Linked DNA regions of Drosophila melanogaster. The protein of the gene in region 4 interacts with the protein of the main gene of each other region in a pairwise test. Each region holds a gene or a part of one and is shown on either strand. Other genes may lie near its edges. The genes, in order: CG9331, CG15927, side-VI and Taf12.

What was found.
Region 1: the proteins of Taf12 (region 4) and CG9331 interact in a two-hybrid assay, tested with the Drosophila melanogaster proteins (one large-scale study listed by BioGRID).
Region 2: the proteins of Taf12 (region 4) and CG15927 interact in a two-hybrid assay, tested with the Drosophila melanogaster proteins (one large-scale study listed by BioGRID).
Region 3: the proteins of Taf12 (region 4) and side-VI interact in a two-hybrid assay, tested with the Drosophila melanogaster proteins (one large-scale study listed by BioGRID).

The regions. Positions count from the first base shown.
Region 1 is NT_033779.5:20,821,380-20,829,125, reverse strand, and holds CG9331 (uncharacterized protein), read right to left. Parts: upstream 5,485-7,746; 5' UTR 5,011-5,484; intron 4,693-5,010; exon of another isoform or gene 4,402-4,692; intron 3,855-4,401; 5' UTR 3,706-3,854; coding exon 3,614-3,705; exon of another isoform or gene 3,551-3,613; coding exon of another isoform or gene 3,459-3,550; coding exon 3,039-3,458; intron 2,494-3,038; coding exon 2,156-2,493; intron 2,095-2,155; coding exon 1,969-2,094; intron 1,630-1,968; coding exon 1,511-1,629; 3' UTR 1,402-1,510; downstream 1-1,401.
Region 2 is NC_004354.4:12,452,085-12,456,747, forward strand, and holds CG15927 (uncharacterized protein), read left to right. Parts: upstream 1-2,644; 5' UTR 2,645-2,784; coding exon 2,785-3,354; 3' UTR 3,355-3,599; downstream 3,600-4,663. Other genes in the region: Pkcdelta (protein kinase C delta), read left to right, coding at 136-290, 359-506, 594-773, 833-973, 1,058-1,207; CG15731 (uncharacterized protein), read right to left, coding at 4,472-4,663.
Region 3 is NT_033777.3:10,969,750-10,975,929, forward strand, and holds the start of side-VI (sidestep VI), read left to right. Parts: upstream 1-2,631; 5' UTR 2,632-3,600; intron 3,601-6,180.
Region 4 is NT_033777.3:11,677,280-11,682,382, reverse strand, and holds Taf12 (TBP-associated factor 12), read left to right. Parts: upstream 1-2,692; 5' UTR 2,693-2,816; exon of another isoform or gene 2,817-2,984; 5' UTR 2,985-3,169; coding exon 3,170-3,439; intron 3,440-3,510; coding exon 3,511-3,831; 3' UTR 3,832-3,997; downstream 3,998-5,103. Other genes in the region: CG6830 (uncharacterized protein), read left to right, coding at 1-148, 208-698, 754-1,120, 1,181-1,395; Ho (heme oxygenase), read right to left, coding at 1,511-1,738, 1,794-2,299, 2,356-2,512; CG18476 (uncharacterized protein), read left to right, coding at 4,367-4,498, 4,566-4,978, 5,034-5,103. UniProt on the Drosophila melanogaster protein: TFIID is a multimeric protein complex that plays a central role in mediating promoter responses to various activators and repressors.

The DNA.
Region 1 (7,746 bases), on a different chromosome or scaffold from region 4:
CAGGACAACTGAAAGTTATGCAAAAATAACGATCTTTAAATAAATCAACTAAAAAGGTGACATTAAAGATCAACATTTACGCAGAAACATGATAAAACTAAACAGCAAAAACGTTAACCTACTCATTTGTAACCTTCAAGAAACCTTAATGAAATCTTGCCAAAATACTTTTAGACACTGTCTGTCAACCACTAAAGAGATAAGACAAAAATCTTTATACTGATAAGGGGCCAGAAGTACGAGTATTTGTTAGGTGGGGGCCCTAAAAGCAACTAGGACTGATATCAATAGCCTACAGGAACTATAAAAAGCTGTAATCTTTAGATTAGGCATACAGATTACGTCTACGCTGCAAAAGATTGTTTCAAATCGTTGCCACGCCCACAACTGTTACATACATATTTTTGAAAAATTAAAAATGCTTTATGTCCTGAGATCGAGTTGTTCGAAAGGACAGACATATACTTGTATGCAATGAAAACGTTTTCTTCTTCCCGTTACTTATTTTTGAAAGAAGTATACCGTTTACTTTTGGAGTAACAGGTATACTGATTAATCGTTCAATTTAATATACTACTACATCCTTTACTGTACAACATGGTGTACATCCTCTTGGATCACTTGTGGAAACGACGACTCGAACCCACTGCCAAATCGACCACGTCGTTGTTGACAGGGGACTTTGCACCTCTTGACTTCCGGCACATCGGCGTAGTCAGCTGGGGGCAGTATTCATTTAGAGCCACTGCCTTATGGGGCTACTGTCCTGCTCAGTCGCCGGTCTGCTTTCTTGCTGGTTGCAGCAGTTGCAGTTGCAGTTCTCTTTCTGCAGATAAATGCCCACATAGTAATCCCTGGGATTCGCCCCCAGCACCTTGAAACCAACGGGCCATGCCCAGGGGCCTTCAATTATTATATTCGATCAGCAAAGCCATAATCAGTGGGAGCAGGTTGAAAAACTACAACCGAAGTCGGGTTTCGCGAGCGAACTCTCAAGCGGCATAAGCACCCAGTTTTAAGAAGCGATGATCCTATTCCGATCCTGATCCGACAAGCTCCCGCAGCCGTTCCTGGGACTTTTGGATGCGAAATCAGCAGTTTGAAGGTCCTCGATACATTTTGGGGAAAAGTGGTAGGTTTTGCAATTGTGCAGAGCTAAACTTTGCGAATTACTAAATCAATGTTTTCTGCTCTCATTTCTTAAAACGTACAATATTATTTCCTACGATATACTATATTAGTATTTAAATTATGTTTCTCATTCTCTAGCACCAATTATTCTATTGCTTTACCTATTCCATATTAATCAGTTGAGCTAATCTTACGGTATAGATTAGATTCCCACATATTTAATTTAATAAATTTGCAACAGCAAATACTTGTTTTTTAATTGTTTTTTTTATTTTCACATCTACTGGCATGCCAAGGTCATCGGCGGCCTTTCGCACTTTGTTTGGCGGACATTCCAAACTGGTTAGCGGTAGAAAGCCATATTTCCCATTTGAATTTACTAGTAGGCGGGCGACAACATGGGCTCCCCAGCCAAACCGCGGAGCACATTATGGGCAGCAATGGTGGACATGTCGGCACGGGTGCGCTTCGTGGCGGATCCAATATGGGGCAGGACAACTAAAAGAACACATCAAGTGGTTAGTTCAAGATACGATTACACAAACCAAGATAACAATGTTTTAATAAATCAACAAAAGAAGGGAATTATAGAGGTCAACAAGGACGCAGAAATTAGATAAAACATGGAAAGAATAAACGTTACCCTATTTATTTGTAACCTTCAAGAAACCTTAAAGATTCCATTAATTTCAAAATACTTTTAGTCATTGTCAACCACTGAAGAGATAAGTCAAAATCTTTATATTGATAAGGGGCCAGAAATACGAGTATTTGCTAGGTGTGGGCCTGAGGACTGATATCAATAAACTACAACATTATTTTCATTTTCCCACTCACCAACATTGTCAAGCGTCAGCAGCTTGTCCTTGGGCGACAATGGTTCCGGATCCGTGACGTCGAGTCCGGCGGAAAAGATTCGGTTGGCTTTCAAAGCCTCGTAGAGGTCATCCTGGTTGACGATTTCTGAGGAATAAAATAAATAGTTAAAATCGGTCGAGAATCCCAATTAATACTGGTAACTTACTGCCCCTGGCAATGTTAACCAGCACAGCAGTCTGCTTCATCTTGTTGAAGGCGGTGGCATTAAAGACGCCCTGTGTGTCCTTCGTCAAAGGAGAAGCGATCACTACGAAGTCACTCTCGGCCAGAAGGGTATCGAAGTCAACTTTCTTGGCATTGAACTCCTCCTCGATCTCCTTGTGAACACGACGACGGGTGGTGTACAGCACCTTGTCAATGTCGAATCCAGACAAACGCTTGGCAATAGCCTGACCAATGCCTCCAAAGCCGTAGAATCCCACGGTGGAATCACGAATATCCTGGCCCAACAGCCAGTTAAGATGGTAGTTTTCCCACTTGTCACTTTTAGAACGCAAAAGATACAAATTAAGAAATTGAAAGATATATGAATATTTCCAAAATATATAATATACTTGTAGATACTCGAGATACTGATAAATGCCTGTTACTAAGCTAAGATGAAGATAAAAAAAACTTTTTTTTATTGCACCGCCACCTAGCGGCGGTTACATAAACTGCTCGTACCTTTTGTTTGTAGATAAATCGAAAGTCAATACTTTAGAATTTTACATTATGCATGTGAGGAGCCAAAACCTATTGATGATAATGCTTTGTCCACTTGTGAGCGCTATAGAGCAAAAGTGCAAGCGACAGACGAGCGGACAGGCGGTATTCTTAAGAACCGGCTTGCAATTTTAATCGAGAATTCATGCGTATACATTTCACGGCCACACTAAGTTGAAAATAAAGTGTCCCTAGTTTAGCTTAATTATAATAATAATTATGACAATTATAATTTCGGTTTACTCTATTTTTGTCATTGCTCAAATTAATTCTGTAAGTATATGAATCATCACAAACACAACTAACCAACTAGTGGTACTCACTTGTCGATGGTCTTGCGACCCTCGTGAAAACGGCGACTGGCGGCGATCAGGAGACCCACTGCCAAATCGGCCACGGCGGTGTTGAGAACGGTGGGCGTGTGTCCCAGCGGGATCTTACGTCTCTTTACCTCCGGCACATCGACGTAGTCGATTCCCGCCGACATGGTGGAGATGGATTTCAGCTGGGGACCGGCAGCATCGAGGGCCTCGGCATTGAGGGGTTCGTGTCCACCCCAGAGAACGCCATCCACGCCACGGATTTTCTCCAGCAGCTCCGCCCGGTTGATGGGAACACTCTGCACCTGGACGATCTCGCAGTTCTCCTTCAGCAGATCAATGCCCTCCTGGGGAACCTCGGGATGTGTCACCAGGACCTTGAAAGCCTTGCCAGCGGACATGGTGCGATTCTGGCTTTGATTTCTGCTGCCCCTGCGTGGGAGGGAGGCATTACTACCGGCGATCAGCAAGGCCACAATCAGTGGCAGCAGGGAGTTGGTGGCAATCGATCTCATCTCGAAGTATTGCGATCGAAGTCGTGTTTCGCGAGCGACTGAACTCTCAAGCGGCATACGCACCCAGCTTTAAGGAGCGGCGAGAACGGAAAGCCGCTGATCCGACTGCTCCGACCCACGATCGCAGCCGATAAACCAATGAACCTGTTTAGCATTATAATCCGCGCTCTAAATCTCTCCCTATATATGTATGTACGTATGTATGTATGTCTGTAGGCGTTCAAGCCGCCGAGCAGCTGATGTGAGTCTCAGTCTCTCCTACGGCGTATGTATAAGACGCACAACTGGTTTGCTGGTTCGAGAACTAAGGTATAATATTGGAGTTTTATCGAAGTGGATTCAATAATCAGGAACGGTGCAAGATTATTTCTGGGTTAATAACAATAACATTTGGCAAAAATAAACATTCTAAAATTAAGTTTAATTTTACTTAACATGTGGAGCGTAATGAAAAAATTACGAAACATAGATGAATTTATCAAAGACTAAGAGCCAATTATTTTGGCTAAAAAACAGAGACAATTATTTCAGTGGAAATACGATTATATACTGCGGTCAATAATTTCGAGTAGCTAAAATACATCTATCTCCCATGTTTTTTAAAGTACTTAAATTTCGCGGTTATACGGTCGCTATCTCCGCACAGACGCACGAGATTTTTATGGCGAAATTCCGCGAGCAAAAACTTTCAGATATGTTCGCATCTAATCATTTTTCCACGACTCATTCCACTCAACACTTTTGACAATTTGATGGTTTTTTAGCATTGTTTGTTTGTTTGTGGGAGGGAATGGAAAAACCCACAGTAATATTTTGATATTAATTACACTCAATGTCACCAAAGAACAAACCGTCACTCTTAAAAACTCTCTTAACCAAACTGTTTACGACACCAAATGTCACAAGAGAACTACTTTATTATATTATTATTAATTTGTTCTTTACACTATGCTACACTCTGCCTCCAAACGCACCCGACGTGAAAATTTAACTAAAACTTTTTTCCATTGGCTATGCAATAAAAGCTCGCAATCCGATTTCATTTTTATGTTCTCTTATTTAGACTTTATACTTTCTCTTACCGTGAGATCTATAGAACTAGAATACTTTTCAGCTTTGCGTTTGCCGCACGACTGAAGTATTGGCCCCAAAGCTTAAGCCTTATATAGAACTCATATCGTATCGCAAATGAATTATCAATTCCCAAAAAAGAGTTAATACGAGAGTAATTTTCAACATATTAATTCGGTTTACATTTTATGGAATGGTGCACAGATATTTTTGAAGTCAATTGTATAAATTCGTTAAAATAAAATAACATATATGAAATATTTAAAACAATATGCGATCTAACAAACTTTTATTATCGTAAAAATACACCCCTTAAAGGCCGGAAACTCACTAAAATCTCAGTTAAAAATGTAGTTCACTCTTTAACATAATATTGGGGTTATATCAACCAGATTCCAGTACTATCAGCGATCAGCGATTCCCCCTCCGATTAGACCATCATTGGGCATCCCTTTCTGTCGTTGCACACTGCGCTTTGCCGCTACCATCAGTCCGTCCCTTTCCAGCTGCTTATCTCGAAAGGCTCCTTATCGGTGCGAACGAGACAGAGACGGAACTCTTTGGGAGAGTGAGCAGTTGGGAAAGCTGTGCGCCTGCTCGAAATACCAGTTGGGGACTTTTCCCATGTGCTCGCATGCAATTTCCAACTGGAATGGGCACCACCGCAGTTGGAGCCACCGGAGCAGTGGAGCCATTTGGCCATTTAGCCGTGGTGCCATGGAGCCAAAGCACTGCAGTCGGTTGGAACGTGGAACCTACACGACCAGCACTATTTCGCAGTTAAGTACGTTTTTTTGTGAGCGGATCTGCTCAAATTTTGTCCGCAGAACAGCAGGCGCACAGCGTTGGCCAACGCACACTGCGCTTTTTCGTCTGTGTGAAAGCGGCGGCAAGAACCGTTCGCGTTGGCGTTAGCGTCGCTGGCAGTGATGCGCGAATTAACTAGCTAGAACTTCCGACAAAAGGCACAGAAACTTAAAACAAAATACTAAATTACTTTACGTCTACGTGTAAGGAGTAATCAAATATTTTACTGGTTAGAACTGAATATATTCATAGACATGATAATACATATACATATTTATAAGATATTCCAAATGTTAAAAACAATAAAATTATTGATATTGTTACTATACGAAAATTGACTAATCTAAATTTTACTGATTTACGATTTAAGTATAGAACTATTTTAACATAGTTTTAACCATAATACCGCTCTAGTGAAATATCGAAACGGACAGTTTGGCTTTTTGTTTGCCTAGATTGGCTTCACTGAAAGTTGTGCACTTCCTCTTACCTTTGAGATTTGGCCCAGACACTGCACTCTGCCTAATTGAAAGCGAAACGAAAAACCAACAAAATATTAGCGCTTTGTGCGAGGGTGGATTTTTTTGTTGTCGTGACGCGGCGCAGCGTCTGTGCCTGCTTTTTCTTCGTCCCCCACAACGGTTTACACATTTTCTTCGTGCCTTGTTCTTTTGTTTCGCGGCCATTGTGCAGCAGAGTGCCGCACATTGGTGCTCTTCTCGCTTTTATGCTTTCCTGTTACCAAAACACGATGCGTCATTTTGACTGACGTAACCGGAGACAACATTCCAATTGGAGACAGCTGTCTATCAGACGCGACCGTCGTCGTCGTTACGTCTGCTGCCGCCGGCATTGCCAGCGCTAAACTGCGGTTTGGTGAACAAGTAATCAGCAACTGATGACAGCAGACAGACGCCAACGAGAGTGTGTGCGGCGGACAGAGAAGAGAAAATGCGGAGAGATAGAGATAGTGGAGGCGGACAGTGAAAGACGGGGTATAACGGAAAAAATGGAATTTGAGAAGCGCATCTCTCGATCTCTCCACTGAACATATGAAAATACAATGTACATATGTACATATGTATGTAAATAATATTTATAAGTTGGGATATTAGAAAGCCTAACACTAGGTCTTCGTTTTAGGCTAATAAATTACTACAGTTTCGATATAATCGGAAACTGAAAATGAAAACGTTTACTTAGTTCAGTTCCCAACTAAGAACAAAGTGGGCATACTTTTAGGCACTTCTAAGCACTATTCCTGATAATGCTTAATGCAATAAAAGTTAATGTGTCACCAAAAATACACATTGTAGTACTTGTTCACATTTCTTAAAAAGTAATTTACAAACATTTTAACTTAGAACTTAGAACCTTGCTAATTGCATTCACAAGGTAAGATTGGGATTGCCTTCGCACAGCACTCAGCGGGTTAAAGTCAACTGTCAAGGGCAAGTTGCAGACACCTAAGCAGCATCCACAAACATATCCGTACTGCTTGCGCCGCATTCTGCTTGCTTCATATTTGGCGACACCAGCAGCGGGAATCGCAAATGGCGGCCGAGCGACAAAGCTGCAAAGCGAGGCGTCGCGCACTCCGCGCAGGCGCTTTTGGAGCGCCCAACTCCACTCAACGGCCTGTCGAGAAGGCCAAGATGAAAAAAAAGTGGGACGTGCCGGGCCACAAAAAAAGTGGCCAACCGTCACCGATTTTTATGGTGTAGGCTCCCTAAAATTGACGCGCAACATTGAGGCAGGTCCCTCTACGCGATATAACGGAACAGGCGCCCAGAGTCGCCAGCAGCGAGATAACCCGACGGAAGACAAAAAGCGAGAGCGAGCTGTGTCTGTGTGTCTGCGCGTGTGGTGGTGGGCCCCAAGTCGATGGCGGTGCCTACACACGGCACAGCTCTATGAATATAACGAGCACGAGAGCGGGAGCGGGAGTGAGCTCCACCACGAGCTCTAGAAGAGAGAGAGACAAGTAGAGTTGGTGAGCGTGGGAGTTGATGTGCACTTGCATATGTGCAAGTACAGTGCGTCCTCTGTAACAGTAAGCACTAAACTGAAAAGAGACTAGCAAACTAGTAAAGTACCACTGTAGTCATTCCCCAGATTTCAGTTGCTCATGGAAGTGTGTACTTGTGTATATACATATATACCAACATACTTAGGTAGCTAATCCAGCTCTGTTGGCTTTGTAATGATGTTAACATTGACTGACGTCAGGCACGGGTCTTAATTTACATGTCTCTGCTGCTTGGTTTTTGTGTTGCAGCAGTCCCCGTTGCTTACCACACATGATAATTATGGGAATG
Region 2 (4,663 bases), on a different chromosome or scaffold from region 4:
CTTTGGGGGACGATCTCTCAATCTCAATCTCAATCGGAATCTCGATCTCTCGCTATATTATTGATCTCTCGCCCGTTCTCGATCTGTATGTTAAATATATATTTTCTCGCTATATTTTTTATATTCAACCCGCAGAGCCACTTGTTCTTTGTGATGGAGTACCTGAATGGCGGTGATCTCATGTTTCATATCCAGGAGAGCGGTCGCTTTTCGGAGGAGCGAGCCAGATTCTATGGGGCCGAAATCATCTCGGGCCTTAAATTCCTGCACAAAAAGGGCATTATCTATAGGTGATTTTGATTGATTGATTTTGATTTTGATTTTATATTTTATATATATTATACTTGGCCATTTATAGAGATCTCAAACTGGATAATGTCTTGCTGGACTACGAGGGACATGTTCGCATTGCCGATTTTGGCATGTGCAAGTTGCAAATCTATTTGGACAAGACGGCAGATAGCTTTTGTGGCACACCCGATTATATGGCGCCCGAAATCATTAAGGTATTGAATATATTACCAACATGTTGTAGTCTTAATTTTATAGATTTAGCTATCATCTACTTTTAATGCTTACCTCTCAATTTGTAGGGTGAAAAGTACAATCAGAATGTGGATTGGTGGTCGTTTGGTGTGCTGCTCTACGAAATGCTAATTGGACAGTCGCCATTCAGTGGCTGCGATGAAGACGAGCTCTTCTGGTCCATTTGCAATGAAATTCCATGGTTCCCAGTTTACATATCCGCCGAGGCAACCGGGATTCTCAAGGGGGTAAGATAAAAATAATAAATCCATTTAATATAAATATAAATAAATGTAATACCTTTCAGTTGCTGGAGAAGGACTATACGAAGCGTATTGGTTCGCAGTACAGCCCGGCTGGTGATATAGCCGATCATATATTCTTCCGCCCGATCGATTGGGGTTTGCTGGAAAAGCGACAAATCGAGCCGCCCTTCAAGCCGCAAGTGGTGAGTGATTTGATGGAGTTATTACTTAATTAGCTAGTTTTATTAATTTGTGATTTGTTGTGATTTTTTTTTTTTTTCCGTAAGAAACATCCCCTGGATACCCAGTACTTCGATCGGGTCTTCACCAGGGAAAGGGTGCGTCTAACACCCATCGATAAGGAGATATTGGCATCCATGGATCAGAAGCAGTTCCACGGCTTCACCTACACAAATCCTCACATCACCTTGGACTAGAGCCTAATTAATGTCCTAATTAATTATTTAGAGCAACAGTATTTGTATATGTAAATATTTATTATGGCCAAGAAAACAAGAGATTAACAATCAAAGCAAATTGAAGTGAAATCGAAATTTTAATACCTTGTAGTTAAGCTTTGGAGCACATTGAAAATTTGTAATTCTAGTCAGTTAGCTATACGTTTATATCTAAGTCTAATTGTACAGATATCCCTCCTCACATTTACCTATATACATATATATATACGTATGCATATAAATATTTTTTTTTTTTTGCAAATTATTTGTTCTAAATTTTAGTGATTAAGCAAAGGTCTACGTCTATGAGAAATAAAAGAAAAGTAAATAAAAAATACAAACATAATGCGGGTCTAATGTGGATATTGATGTTGAATAAAAACAATGTCAATCAAATGGGTTTGTGATTTAGCTACCGTTACGAGCGCTTTCCGGTGATTATCAATTAATACAGTGCGTTTCGAAAGAGTAAGTATTGAGTATTTCAGATGATAATTTCCAAATAAATACAAAAATAGAATTTAAAAGGCTCATTACGAACCCAACACATTATTATAATCTTAAAGTGGACTTTCATTAAGTTCTTCGGTTATGTCACGCACTGTACCGGACTGTCCATATGCAAATGTGGAACAGTGAGAGTGATCAGCGGTCAACTGCAAATGCCGGCTGGAGTGAAAATTCTGAGCCACGCTTTTCCACATTGCTAATCTGCATAGAGAGTTTACTGCCTTTGTAGTTTGTGGGTTTTTTTTTTTTTTTTGATTGCGGGTGTCTTTTGTCTTAATGCTAATGGGCCGGAGATGTGTGTGTGCTTATGATGGTTGTATTTTGGCTTTTTGTTTGGGCCACTACCAGTGGCAGCGAGAGTGGACGGGTTATGTTTTAATGGCCATTGTAATGGCTCAACTGTCGGCTAGTGAACCAGTGTTAATGTCAATCCACACGAAGGCATTCAAAGAATTATTCTTCTCCACTTTGGCATAAATCAACACAACTCACATACGCTCACAACTCACTTGATGTTGTTAATAAATGTGTGTTGCTCATAACAAAATAGAGGAAATAATGGAAGAAAGAGCCACTTCAACAGGCCACCAAACAATAAACGTCCAGTCGCGGCCAGTTATGTTTTTATTTTCAATCCAAAGTGTTGGACATATCACCACGCACAATGGTGCCAAAGCTATGAACTTCTAATAAATTTTGCTATTTAACTAACATCTATGCTATATCGTCTTATATATTTAAAATGGCAAAGACAGTGCATTTTATTTAATTTTTGGTTTTAAATTTGCATATATTTTAACCCACTGTGCATTCGTGTACCGTACGGTATTTTCTCTAATTAATTCGCTTTTACGAGCGCATTCAGCTGACTTTAGGTTGATTTGAGCCGTGTATTTTTTAGTCCGTTCAGTTGCTGCAACACGGGCCTAGAACGCGCTGCTTTTTCGCTTCACTCTCGACCGAATAACACATTTTGTTTATTTTTTATTCGAGTGCTTATATCGAGTGATCCTTGTGTTTATGATGAGCTAACAACCTGCCGGAAAATGCACATTTTGGCCTATTTAATTCTGAGCCTTTTTGGCCTGGTCGAGAGTTATGGCCATCAGCCGGTACTGAGAAATATCATCAAAGTGCGAGCCAGCGGCTTTATGCCCTTCGAATCGGATTTACTACTGCCATTGAATATCCTGCGCCAGTTGCAGTCGCACGATCGATCATCGCGTTACATTGGTCAGAGGCCAAAGCCAATAGTGAGGCCAAAGGTTAAGCAACAAATCAGATTGGAGAGAGCCAATCCTTTGAGGGAGGCCAAAGGTGTTCAGCTCTATAACTTGATCGATGACGATGGTGAACTACTGTTGAATCTCAAGGTTCACAACGAACAGAAGGGAACTGCACCGGCCAATTATCAAGAGGAGAAATATCAAAGTAGATACCAGAGCTACGATTCACCATGGATGCCCTCGAAATGGAGACCGACCAGCGAATTTCTGGGTGTGACCTCCTCATCGCCACGCCCACTGCCCCTGCATCAGTATCTGGGCCAAAACAATAATCGCATCGATCAAAATACGGCGAAAAGGAGGCGGCAGGATATATGGCCCCACAAATAATAACTAAAATATAATAATATATATAATATATAATATATAACTCATTTAATTGTTTATTCTTAAACATCACAGCACCCAGAGCACATTCACATTTATGAACCTGATTTCAAGCAAAATCTCAATGATATTCATTTGAATTTTTTTGAAAATAATCAATGATCCTAAAATATTTGCTAACATTTTAAAACAAATTATATTAAAGCCAAATGATGGAATACTAGTTCTAAAAGTTTATAAGATAATTGAAAAAAGAAAAAAAAACGTTTCAATTTACTTTCTTTCTACATTTATATCAAGTTCTTCTTTTCTTCGATGTACAAAACTAAAAAAAAAATAACTCGAGCTTAAAATTAAGCCACATCGTTCAAAATAATCCATAAGATATAAAATGTACGACACCGATACACAAAATAATCCATAAGATACAAAATGTACGACACAGATACACAAAATAATCCATAAGACACAAGAACACGCTACAACATAATCAACCAGACACAAAATACATTTCGAAACATAAAAATAAACGTTAAGATACACATACATAAATATATCCATTAGATGCAACGTATATCTAAAATGAACATAAGCCCACCGATGAAAAGGTCGTTGAGCTACCGCTAAATTAGATGACTGTGATTATGCTAATATGGGTCGATCGAATCGAGTTGAAAGTGAAATTGAAACGCGAATCGAAAGTGACTGAGCCGCATGAATGGAATCAAATCAAAATGAATAAAATGCTAATTCACACAGCCTAACTAATCGTGAATACATGGGAATTAGAATGCATAAAGAATGGGTTTTTTAAACCAAATTTAAACAAACAAAACAGGCAAAATGATCAATGATACGTTAATTCGCCATCTATCAGAACTTTCCAACTATTTCTTTAAACATTCTCATATGCTGCAAACAAACTTTCCAAATCGTTGTTCACCCCATATATCACACAATATTCGAATGGTTTATAATTTACAGATGGTATATTTGTTTAAAGGGTGAGGTAAAATGGGAACAACAATAAAAAAAACATGGGAAATGAGAAAAAAAAGGGGACCTAAAATTACTTAACAAGACTCAAGGATCAGTATGACTCGAATCGAATGGCATGGAATCACTTCCAGCTGGAGGATGGGGGCAGATATCCGGGCTGGGGAGCGGATACGGGGGGCAGATACTCATTGCTGGGCGGCAGGTATTCGTTGCTGATGATGGGGGCGGGTCCGTGGCCGTGGGCATGGCCACCGTCCTCGTGAATGACCTTGATGGTCTTGACCTCTTCGAATCCGCCGTGCGAATGACCGTG
Region 3 (6,180 bases), 710 kb from region 4:
TAAATCGCCGTAGCTTCACTTTAGAATATTCATCTTTCTTTCACCAAATTATCTTGAACACCCTTTAAAGTGCACACATTTAATTAGCCGAATTTATTTTCGACAGTGTGTGCTCATCATCAGGGAGCGGTGGCCACAGAAACCGCCGTCTCATGATTTAAATTTAATGCAACTTTTGCTTTATAGCCAAACTGTCGCGCACACAGACACACATCACACAGAACCCCCACCCACCCACACACACACATTAATGTAAAAGCTATAAAGTCATGTGCAACACCATTGCCACTTCCGGGCGGTGGCAACAGCAGCAAAACAGGAGCAGCTGCAGACCCAGGAGCAGGAGCAGGAGCGGAGCAGGATCAGCCGCCGGTTCGGGACTCTCTGGCAGCTATTTGGTCACTGCACTTAGTGCACTTCCTTTGCTCGCATTGCTGGGGTTTTTCGCCAGCCAGGGAAAAGGGGTTAAGGGTTTTTTAAACTTGCTACTCATTTCGGATTGGGGTAGTTGGAAATAATACTGCATTATTACTTATACTTAAAAGAAATCAACAAATTAAAATTAATAAATGATAAAATGATTATAAGATATAAGGAAACTGAAACAATACATCTATTGCAAAATCTAAAATACAACAACTAATGGGTATCAAATCGGCCATTCCTGATTAGTTTTAGACTGATTCTGGTGCAGCTGCTCTCGTTGCTGCCGCCTGATGAAATGCCATGCTTGGCGGTTGAGCGTTGAGATTTTGTAGGAACAGAAGACCGACAATCTACACCACACACGAAACTGCATGTGTGTGTGAGTGTCGTCCTGGGCTTTTGATTATGTGTGTGTGAGTGATGGAATTTTGCAGTTTTAGTTAATGTTTAGCCAGCGCTATTTTGGCCCAAAGAATGTCGCGTGGAGGAGCCAAATACTTTGACAACATCACCAGTTACATTTTCTATATGTGCACACTATATATATATATGGGGAAAGTAAGGAAAAAGAGTCCGCGAGTGTGTGTGTGTGTGTGTGTGTGCTGACGAAAGTGGTTTAGTGCTATCTTCATTTCGGCATTGGATTTGCCATTAGAGTTTGGCCAAGCGTGTAAATGAAATTTGATAAGATTAGGCTGTGCAATTGTTGCAGTGCTACCCATGTGTCCCATTCTTCATCCTTTGAGTGGATCGCCTTGCAAAGCGAGAGCTTTCCTTGAGTGGTATAAGAGTGAAACCGTTGGAAATTTTGAAAAAATCCCATTCATGCCAAGCAAAAGTTTTCGCGTTCCACAATTCATTCGGTTTTTTTTTTGCTGGTTTCGGGCGCATGTCTGGCGAAACCACGCTTTCGAAATCGAAAAGAGAGCCAGAGAAAGCCGAGAGAAAGTTCAGAGAAAGCGTGAGAGATGCGAGCTTCGGGTCTCGTGGTCCCATGTCAACTTACATGCTTACACCCCATTGTAGTAGAGTTTTTTTTGTAAGCGGTGTGATGCGTGATTTTGATGGTGGTGTAGGTTAAGTTGTAGCGGTGCCATTTTTTAGCCTACACCTTGAGGAAATCAATCAGGAAATTCTGATTAATTAATCACTCAGCTGGGCTTACATTTTGGGTTTAATAAGTAGGACATTAGAGTTTCTTAAAACGATGCCAGAACCCGGAAATGGTTCTATTGGTCTTTTATTCACCTATACGGACTTTATATATTTAATTGGGTTTATAGTCTTACTGCATGAACTTTAGCCAAACATTAGTGAAGTATTCATTGTAATCTGTGATCCTTGACTGGCTGCCTTGACCAGCGAAACTGCAGTAAGTGCGAGATGCTCTTGGTAACCGCTTTCTGAAACTCTCATTCATCTAGGTAGATGCGATTTTGAAGAGAGGCAGACATCGTGAGTTCGATGGAAACGCAAAAGAGAGGGAAAGCAAAAGGTTCCACAGGAATGCGTGGTGGAATATGTTTTTAGAAGGTTCGCAAGGGCAAAAGGGTGTTGAGGTAGGACTGGACACCCACGGCAGGGGGGAAGGGAAGTGGAAAGTCGCAAATAAATCATGATCGGGATTTCATATTGATATACTTCCATCATCATGGCAGCATATTCAAAAATATTGGTTCAAAAAACAATAAAAACATTTGGGATCCTTTCAAGTAAGGTATAAGATGATTTTTAATACAAGATATAGTCAACAAGGTGAATACTTTTCATAACTTTTAGTATTATTATCAATAGATAAAAATAAGAAGTGATTTATTTTTTCATTCACAAACATCTTTTTTATCTTTTGCCCCTGGTAGTTTATATTTCGTTTTTAAAACTTGACAATTCAAGTTCATGAAGCGTTTGAGGTAAGCTTACCTACCACTTGGCTTCCACAGATTGACAACCAAGACGACTTTTGGATTTTACAACCAAAACTCTTATACTCTGGCCCTTGCCAGCCGTTCTGGCTTTCGAAATCGAATCGGCGGCAAGTGTTGGCCCACTTACAAGGCTCACACACACACACACACAGGGAAACCCAAAGGATTCGACTGTTCGGCAAAGTCGAAAATGCGCGACCCGAGCGAAAGCCGAAGGATCCGAATCGTGGAGGGCGATGGCAAAAGTGGCCAAAGCCACGAATGAATGGCCAGGCGCTTTAGTACTGAAAAGGTCGTGGATTTGTGTAGTTGTCGTGCTCCGTTGCCGCCGTTTGTCGTTCTCGTTTTCGTTGTCGTGTTGTCGTTGTCGTTGTCGCTGTCGTACGGGCGGCATCGCATCGCATCGCATCGCCTCACATCGCGTAGCCGCAGTGTTGACCGTCCGCATCCGCAAACTGGCGAACGAAGCAATTGGGCTGGAAATCAAGAAACAAGTGCCACCCAACCTAGTCAAAAGTATATATCTCAATCGGTTATCGCAATTGTTGAATGCTGAATATACAACAACCAAATAAAAATAGAAAAACGTCAAGCGAGACGAGAGTGCACGTGCTAGAAGTAGAAGTAGAAACATCTCAAACGCCTGCGTTAAGTTTCTGAATGTGTTGTTATGCAAATCGCGTCCTTTTTGGCTTGAGGCAACAATACAGTGAGTGTATGTGAGTGAGTGCGATTGGGAGCGTGTATGTGTGTGCCGCAGTTACAGTGTACGACTATATATATGTGCGCTTGTGTACGCGCCCACAATGCATAAATCAAAATACACATTATTGAGCCATAAATAAAGTTCGCATCGGCTGCTACTTTAAATATTGGCCTCGCGGCTGGCGGCGATTCGAAGACGAGAAAGTTAGCAGCAGAAGCAAAGCAAAAGCAAGGCCGACGAAATCGAAATTTATGCCTCGCACCCGCCAAATACTTTGCCATATTTTTTGCTCAATTGCCTGCCGCTGCTCCTCCAACTCCTTCAGCTCCTTTTCATATGATGTGTGTGCGTCTCGCTGGCTGCATAAAAACTCGCTTAATGCCAACACGCCCTCTACAGGAGCAATAAGCAATAAGCACAGCAGCAGCAACAACTCCATTTCCTCCTAACCCCTGAGGGCTGATTTTATTACAAAGGCCGTAAAAAACGCCAAAAAGCGGAGTAAACGCCACAGCAAAAGGATACAATACGGCCGAAACAGGGGTAAGTGCATGTGGGAAGTAAATATCTACCAAAATAAACGTACATATACTTTTGTACCGACAAACCTAATCTTCAGACGAAAGTGAGCGCTCAAAAGTATGCTAAGAATAATAATGCAGGCCATTGTGCTAAGAAGGTTGAAGCATTAAAAATAGAAACATTTATTCTATTCAGCTTGGAGGTATGTGGAAATGTAATGGTATTAAAGTGAAAACAATTCCACACAAAAGGCCTGAATACAAGAAATAAATTCAGTGCTTAATTCAGTGCAGTCTTCTTGTAATAATAATTCGGAATTGAATGAAAATAAAGAGTTTTATTGGAAACAAATCTAAGACGGTGTAGGAAAATTGGAGGATTTAAATATCTTTTAGGAATTTCATTCCTAATTCCCTAATATTAAAGAATCATTTTGTTGTCAACGAATGGCAGCAAAATATTGTATCAAAAAATGGTAAAACAATTATGGAAAACCAAACGCTTGTTACGTTACTTATTAGTTAAAGGAATTTTAAATCTTTTCAAAGCTGTTGAACACAACTTGTGCTTTCTTAAATTCTTCAGCTGCGAATAAATTTTTTATAATCATTTGTCAGACTTTGCTGGTATAAAGCTTTATAAGTTTAGTCATCAGTATTGCTGAAATTCCCTGCTGATCTCTTTGAAGGCACAACGCCAAAGTGGGTCACACAGATGAGTGGAACTTACAATTTGTCTGCGATTGTGTCAGGGATAATATTTCCCATTGCCTTTGATCATTTTGTTGATGCCGGGGTGTCAGTTAGTCAGTCTGAGAAGTGCGTTAGTCTATCCCGAGGAGACATAAGCCATGGAAATCATATTAAAATGCTGTCTGTGCATAACCTACTTTTTATTTCTATATACATACATATATGGCAAGCAGAGTAGTATACAACTCAGTGAGTCTCGCACCCGGTTGCATTGTGGACTGGCTGGCTGGTAACATTCGTATTCGCATTCGCACATATATTGTTGCCATTTCACTTTTGCTGAGCACGTCTTCGCATGTGGATGTGGATGTGAATGTGAATGTGAATGTGGATATGGGTAAGGGTATATGTGTGGCTATGGGTATGGGTGTTGGCAAGGCTGCAGGCTCTTGCCAAATGCGCTTTGTTGCCGCCATTGTCAACATGGCCAGAAACGAGGAGCGGCAGCAGGAAATTTTTGCATTTTTCGGCTCAGTCAACGCAACGTGGCTTGGCAACAGGCCAGGGATGCATCAGGGGTGGGGAGCTATCTCAGATCTGATTTTCTGCAGAGCTTAAATTATTAAAAGCCTGGTCCAAAAGTTAAGGCTTCTTCTCGCATAAATCAAGCTGGCCAGGGGACAACCTGGCGTATGCGCAACTTTAATAACATGAGCAGCAGCTGCAAAAGTTTCGCCTGTCAGGGGGAGCAAGTTTAATGCAGCATGTAAATATTGTCATGACACACGAAAACTTTCACTGGCCCTTTGTTGACAGGCTCTTGAGGACAACGGCTGAAAGGATGCGAGTTGGTGTGTGTAGACAGACGAGATTTATGAGCACAAATGGAAGACGAAGCGTGTGACTCGCATAAAGCTCGGAGTGAAAAGTTTCACAATTAATTTTAATAGTTAATAGCGGAACTATCCAAGATGAATTTTGGGACATCCGATATAAGCAGCAGGTTGCTGGGAACAGCGGAAAATAAATATATATATATATACATAAGCAGAATAAACATTTTCCTAATATTGAATTATTTTTACGTTACACTTTAACCCTAACAAAATTACATATGAAAAAACCAGATTTAAATGTATTAACTAATATATGGGCCATTCAAATGAAAACATGATAATATATTGTAGTTTTGTTTTACCTTTCGAAGAAAAGGGCCATAAAAAAGTGAATTTAATAGGAATCGATTACATAGTTTGTCAGATTTAAAAAATACAAATTAAAGACTGAATCACAGTACATTTTTAAAGGTTTTATTTGTATGAAAGAATTGGGTTTTGGAGAAACCAAAAAAGAAAACCAATGGGTACATTACAGGAGCCCACAAATCGCGATATCAAATGACCTGAGGTGTACTAATTAAAACCATTTTTAAATTAAACAACGCTGAGGAATATCACGTTCGTACTTTAATCAAATGAAATGATTTAATTTGTTTTTTTATGTTGATCAAAGAAGTACATGCTTTATAGCACGTATTTCTCTTTGCCAAATCGTCCCTTCTCTTTCAAATGGAAGCGCTTTAAATCACACTGGCGAATATCACATTTCAAAGTAAAGAAGAATTGAAATCAAAGCTTTTGCTGTACAAAGCCAAATAATCCATCAAGTGGCATTAACTTGAAACAATAAATTTCACACACAGCTGCAGAGGTAAGCCCAAACCAACATAGGTCTCGAACAACTAGAGCTCTGGCACTTGAAGTGCTTGACAACTAATCAGGTTTCAAATGCCTAAGCACACACACTCGTACACTGCTCGAAAAAAGTGTAAGAGTATCGGGCAAGGGGAAATAAATCCGTTCAGAGTGTCGGTAATCAAAGCTGCTTACAGCCTGCGCTTTTATTGTAT
Region 4 (5,103 bases):
CTAAATATTGACGATTTCAAGGAAATCATTTTATCCGCGGAACCAAATTTCGAAAAGATCTTAAGCAGTACTTCAAAGTTGGCGACGAAACCTGGCGACAACTTTGCTTCCAAGCTGCTGAAGGTCGAAATCGAGGCGCAGTTAAAAGGTAAACTACTTTAAATTCTGAAATATTTAATATTATAACCAATCTTCTCACATCTACAGACAATAGCGTGAAGACCTTCTCGTACATCCTGAAAGTCCACAGCGACAATGACGCAATCAACTTCTCCGACTTTAACCTGTTTCCAAAAGAGATAGAGGTTTACAGCACATATGTGCCCGCCTTCGAGCGTTTCTATAAGGATGTTGGCCTACCAGTCACTTTTAGTCCGAAGTCCTTCCGGCTCAGCAAGGACGTCAGCAAGGAGTACCTGCTTTTGGAGAACCTGCAGCCGAGTGGCTTCAAGATGGTCGATCGCATGATTGGAATGGACTTGGAGCATTCCAAGTGCACGTTAAAGAAATTGGCCCAGTGGCATGCAGCCTCTCTGAAGTACAAGGAACTAAATGGACCCTATTCGCCCAAATACAATAATGGCATTTTTACAGAGCAAACGGCACCTATATTTAAGGGTATGTTTGTTAACACTAAGAAATCCTTTATAGAAGAAGTGAGCAAGTTTGACGGTGTGGATGAGTACTTGCACAAAATGGTAAGTCACTTTACTTTATTCCTTGTAACTAACTTAACAAAATCATATTTTGCAGCCAGAGATCTTGGATACGTATGTCGACAGAATACTTGAAGATGCCAAAATAAATGAACAAGCGTTTAATGTGCTCAATCATGGTGATGCCTGGATAAATAACATCATGTTCCAATACGAATCAGATGGTCGCGTCAAGGAAACCCTCCTGTTGGATCACCAAGTCACGAAGTATGGAAATCCTGCCCAGGATCTGTATTACTTCATAATGAGCTCCACTCAACTGGACATCAAAGTCGATCAGTTTGACTACCTTATCCGATGGTATCATCAAAACATGAAGGAGCACGCCAAGCTGTTGAACTACAACGGATTTATTCCCTCGCTAAAGGAACTGCACGCCATTCTGATACAGCACCCCATTTTTGGTAATTTACAGAAGGATTTGAGGTTTTTAAATTCCTCTGACTGACATGTTTTTCTTCAAGCTGCTGGAACTGTGCTCACTACCTTGTCGATGTGTCTTAACAAGACAACCGATGACTTTACCACTGATAGCTTTTTGGGAAATGAAGAGAATGGCAAATCCCTGAGGGAGGCAATGTTTAGCAACGAACGTTATAGGGCCAATATAGAGCGTGTCATGCCATGGATAAATAGACGAGGACTGCTTGATAATTTTGCCAACGGACATTCCCAATAAATACTTTACTTCAGACAAATTTCAGGTTATTTACTATTTAACAAACGACTAAATAAATGTGTGATCACAATTCTAACTTGCTCAAGAGAGCTTACATTTGTATTTCCTACTTTTCTTACTTGAGAGCAAATTTCACGGCCACTACAATACTTGAAACAAAGATTAGTGCGAGGGCCAGCTTCCTAAGATTGGCACGATTCACACCTTTGATGGTCCGTACTACTTCTATATTTAAGCGAAATACGTTGCGACTTTCCTCAATAAAAGCAGCACGCAAATCATCGTCAAAAGCTCCGTAGTGATTGTTGAAAACGCGCCTTAGTTTGGCCTTTAAGACAGAGATCTGAAAGTGGATATAAAGACAATAGATATAAGGAACAAAGTAAAAAGCTACGCACCTTCTCAGGAAAATATGTGGCCTCACATCCCGGCGGGCAAATGGTAACCTGGGCAGGCATTGGCCTGGCCTCCAAGTCGTCTTTGTCTACAGAGCCATCGGCAGCTCTGGCGGTGGCCAACTCTGCCTCCTTGTCGGCCTGCTTCTGCTGCTCCTCGTCATCGTTCTTTGAAAAGATCCACATTTTACGAGCGATCATACGCTTCTTCTGCAACATTTGTCCGCCGGACATCAAAGCCATGTACATCTGATAGGAGTAGGCGAACAGCAAGAGTTCGTTCTGTGCGGCAATCTTTTCCAGATGCTCGAGATATTTCTGGACCGCCGGGCGAATTTCGTAGTCCTTCCTCCAATCGGAACCGTAGAAATAGGCAAAATCCCTTTCAAATGCCGCTGTTCTGTGGAATTCTTTGGGCAGCAGGCGCTCCGGCAGATGGGTCTCAAAGAATTTGTACAGTTCGTAGAAGGCCAGGAGTCCATCATACCAGACCTCGTCATCAGAAAGGGCTATGGAAGAAGAGGAATATCTAATAACTTCTAATAATATCGTGTAATTAACGAACCAAGTGCGATCTTTGCATTCACTAGAACATCAGTAAGATTATGCACATCTTTTGTGGCTTTACGCAACTCCTTTGTGAACGCCATGTCTACGAATTCCACATCCTCCACATTCTCGGAGACCTGACTGTCCGCTATTGTTTCTTCGCTCGCTGACATGTTTCTTTTGCGCAGCTATTGTTCCCAATTACAAAGTAAAATATATTCCTTATCTACGTGATATTTGCAAAATACGCCGTCTTTGTTTTGTTTTGAACTCCACGCCAGTGTGGCTGTCTAACTAAAATATACTGAAATTAAACGTAAATATACCAAATTGCTTTATAGCACCAGCGGGCATTTCAGAGTCGCCTGCAACTGGCCATACTGTTGATTTGGCTGTAGTTGCTCCGCTTATTTTTATTTTGTTTAGTAATTTAGGAAAGTAATAGTTTAAGATCAAAGTGTTAAAACCGCAATAATTGTAAGTGTTGCATGCGCTAAGAGCAACTGCTAAGTAACACTTTAGTTTTAGTAAACACACAAAGCGACGGATTCTTAAGACCGCACGCGTGAAATTGACCACTCTATTCTTTTACTTACATTTCGCTTTGCAACCAAACACCCACGCACACACAATCACCGACTGCAGTTGAGAAAGCAGGAGGACACACAACATAAGCAGCAACAACAACAAGTACACTAACGCTTTTGGCTTTGGTTCTGCACTCTTACCCACTCCCCAAAAATCCGCCCAACTTACTGTACTTTCCCCAAACACTTCCAACCAACCGACCTACCACCCACTTGATTTGACTCTGAAGAAACCCAAAAGCAATGTCGGATCTCTTTACCACTTTCGATAGCAACGGCGTCGCCGAGCACCACCTGCACCACAACCACAACTCCACATCGTCCGCCAGCGGACTGCTCCACGACCCACCCATGGCCTCGCCCTCCCAGCACAGTCCGATGACCAACAACAGCAACTCATCCTCGCAGAACGGCGGACCGGTTTCCGGTTTGGGTACGGGAACGGGCCCCATATCTGGTGGTAGCAAGTCATCCAATCACACATCATCCGCCGCCGGTTCCGAGAACACTCCCGTAAGATGCGTGCCTTATGGAGTGCACACGGAATACGCCAGGGTCTAGTTTAACTCTCTTCCGAATTACAGATGCTTACCAAACCGCGTCTCACAGAGCTCGTCCGAGAGGTGGATACCACCACGCAGCTGGACGAGGATGTTGAGGAGCTTCTGCTTCAGATCATCGACGACTTTGTCGAGGACACCGTCAAGTCGACGAGCGCCTTCGCCAAGCACCGAAAGTCTAACAAGATCGAGGTGCGCGACGTGCAGCTGCACTTTGAGCGGAAGTACAACATGTGGATACCCGGCTTCGGTACGGACGAACTGCGTCCCTACAAGCGGGCAGCTGTCACGGAGGCGCACAAACAGCGCCTTGCCCTCATACGGAAAACGATCAAGAAATACTAGAGGATTGGATCTAATCGGGTCGAGGCTCTGTTTCGGTTTGCCGGATTTCGCGTATGCTAAACGTGCACACGCCACAAACTAATTTAAGCTCCAATTTAGATTAAATAACAAATTATCGTCGCTCTATTGTAGATTTATTGTAATAAAAGTGCACTATTGATTTCACATTCAACAATTGGTCACCGTCAGCAGTAAATTTTAAGTCGTGATTTTTTAATCACAGTTTCTAATGGTTCTGTAATATTTGTATTAATTGTTTGTCTGGTGGATATTGATTTATATTTTTCATAATTTAACAATTTCTTCAGTTTATTTTAAAAATATTTGTGTAATATTTCCCTTTGAAAATAATTAGCGGACTCTGCTGAACGCACCCAATTAATTGCTGTATTTTTTAACAACGTGGTATTTTTTTAATGACCGAACGGTATTTTCCATCTCTCGCATCAAGGTCATACCATCAATAATGTTGATTTTCTGATTGTTGATTTAAAATTAAAAAAGCTTTCAATTGGCCAAAACAAATTTGTTCGCCATGAAGCTGCCGGTGATTTGTCGCACGTGCGACTCCACGGACACCGACAACCTTCTGAAGCTGGCCACGCCCTCGAAAAAGTATCCGGACAAGTTGCTTTCGGAGATTTTATGCGAGCTAACCGAAATCAATGTAAACAAAGTTCTAAGAAGCGAAATCTACGAAAAATGCAAACTAAAATGAAACATTTACCTTTCAGCTGGATGCAACTGGTAGTCAGAAATTTCCGCAATGCTTGTGCAGTGGATGCACCAAAAAATTAATGGGTGCCTATTGCTATGTGAAGCAGGCGATGGCCGCCAACGAACTTCTAATGAAGCATCTAAAGAACGGTGCTGCTCCAACGTCAACCGACTGTCTGCAGGAGGCGCCGATGGAGCTGTGTGCTGAGCAGCATGTGGAAGTCAAGCTGGAGACTGAGGATGAGGACTGTGGCGAAAATGATGTTACTATCACTTGTTCCGAACTACCGGAACCGGACGAAACGGACATGGAGAGCAAAAAGTCGGTGGACCCACTGACCATGATTGAAACGGTGAAGCTGGAAATGGAACCCAGAAGCGTGGAGAAGCCAGCGTATGACGATCCCACATCGGACTTTGAAGACGAAGAGTGGGTGACAATTGGAATTTCCCAACTACTTTATTTTAACTAACTAATCTTGCAGCTCCCTGGATAATTTGCCACTGTATAATCGCATTCAAAAGTGGAAAACAGGAAGAAAGTCTGTATATAAA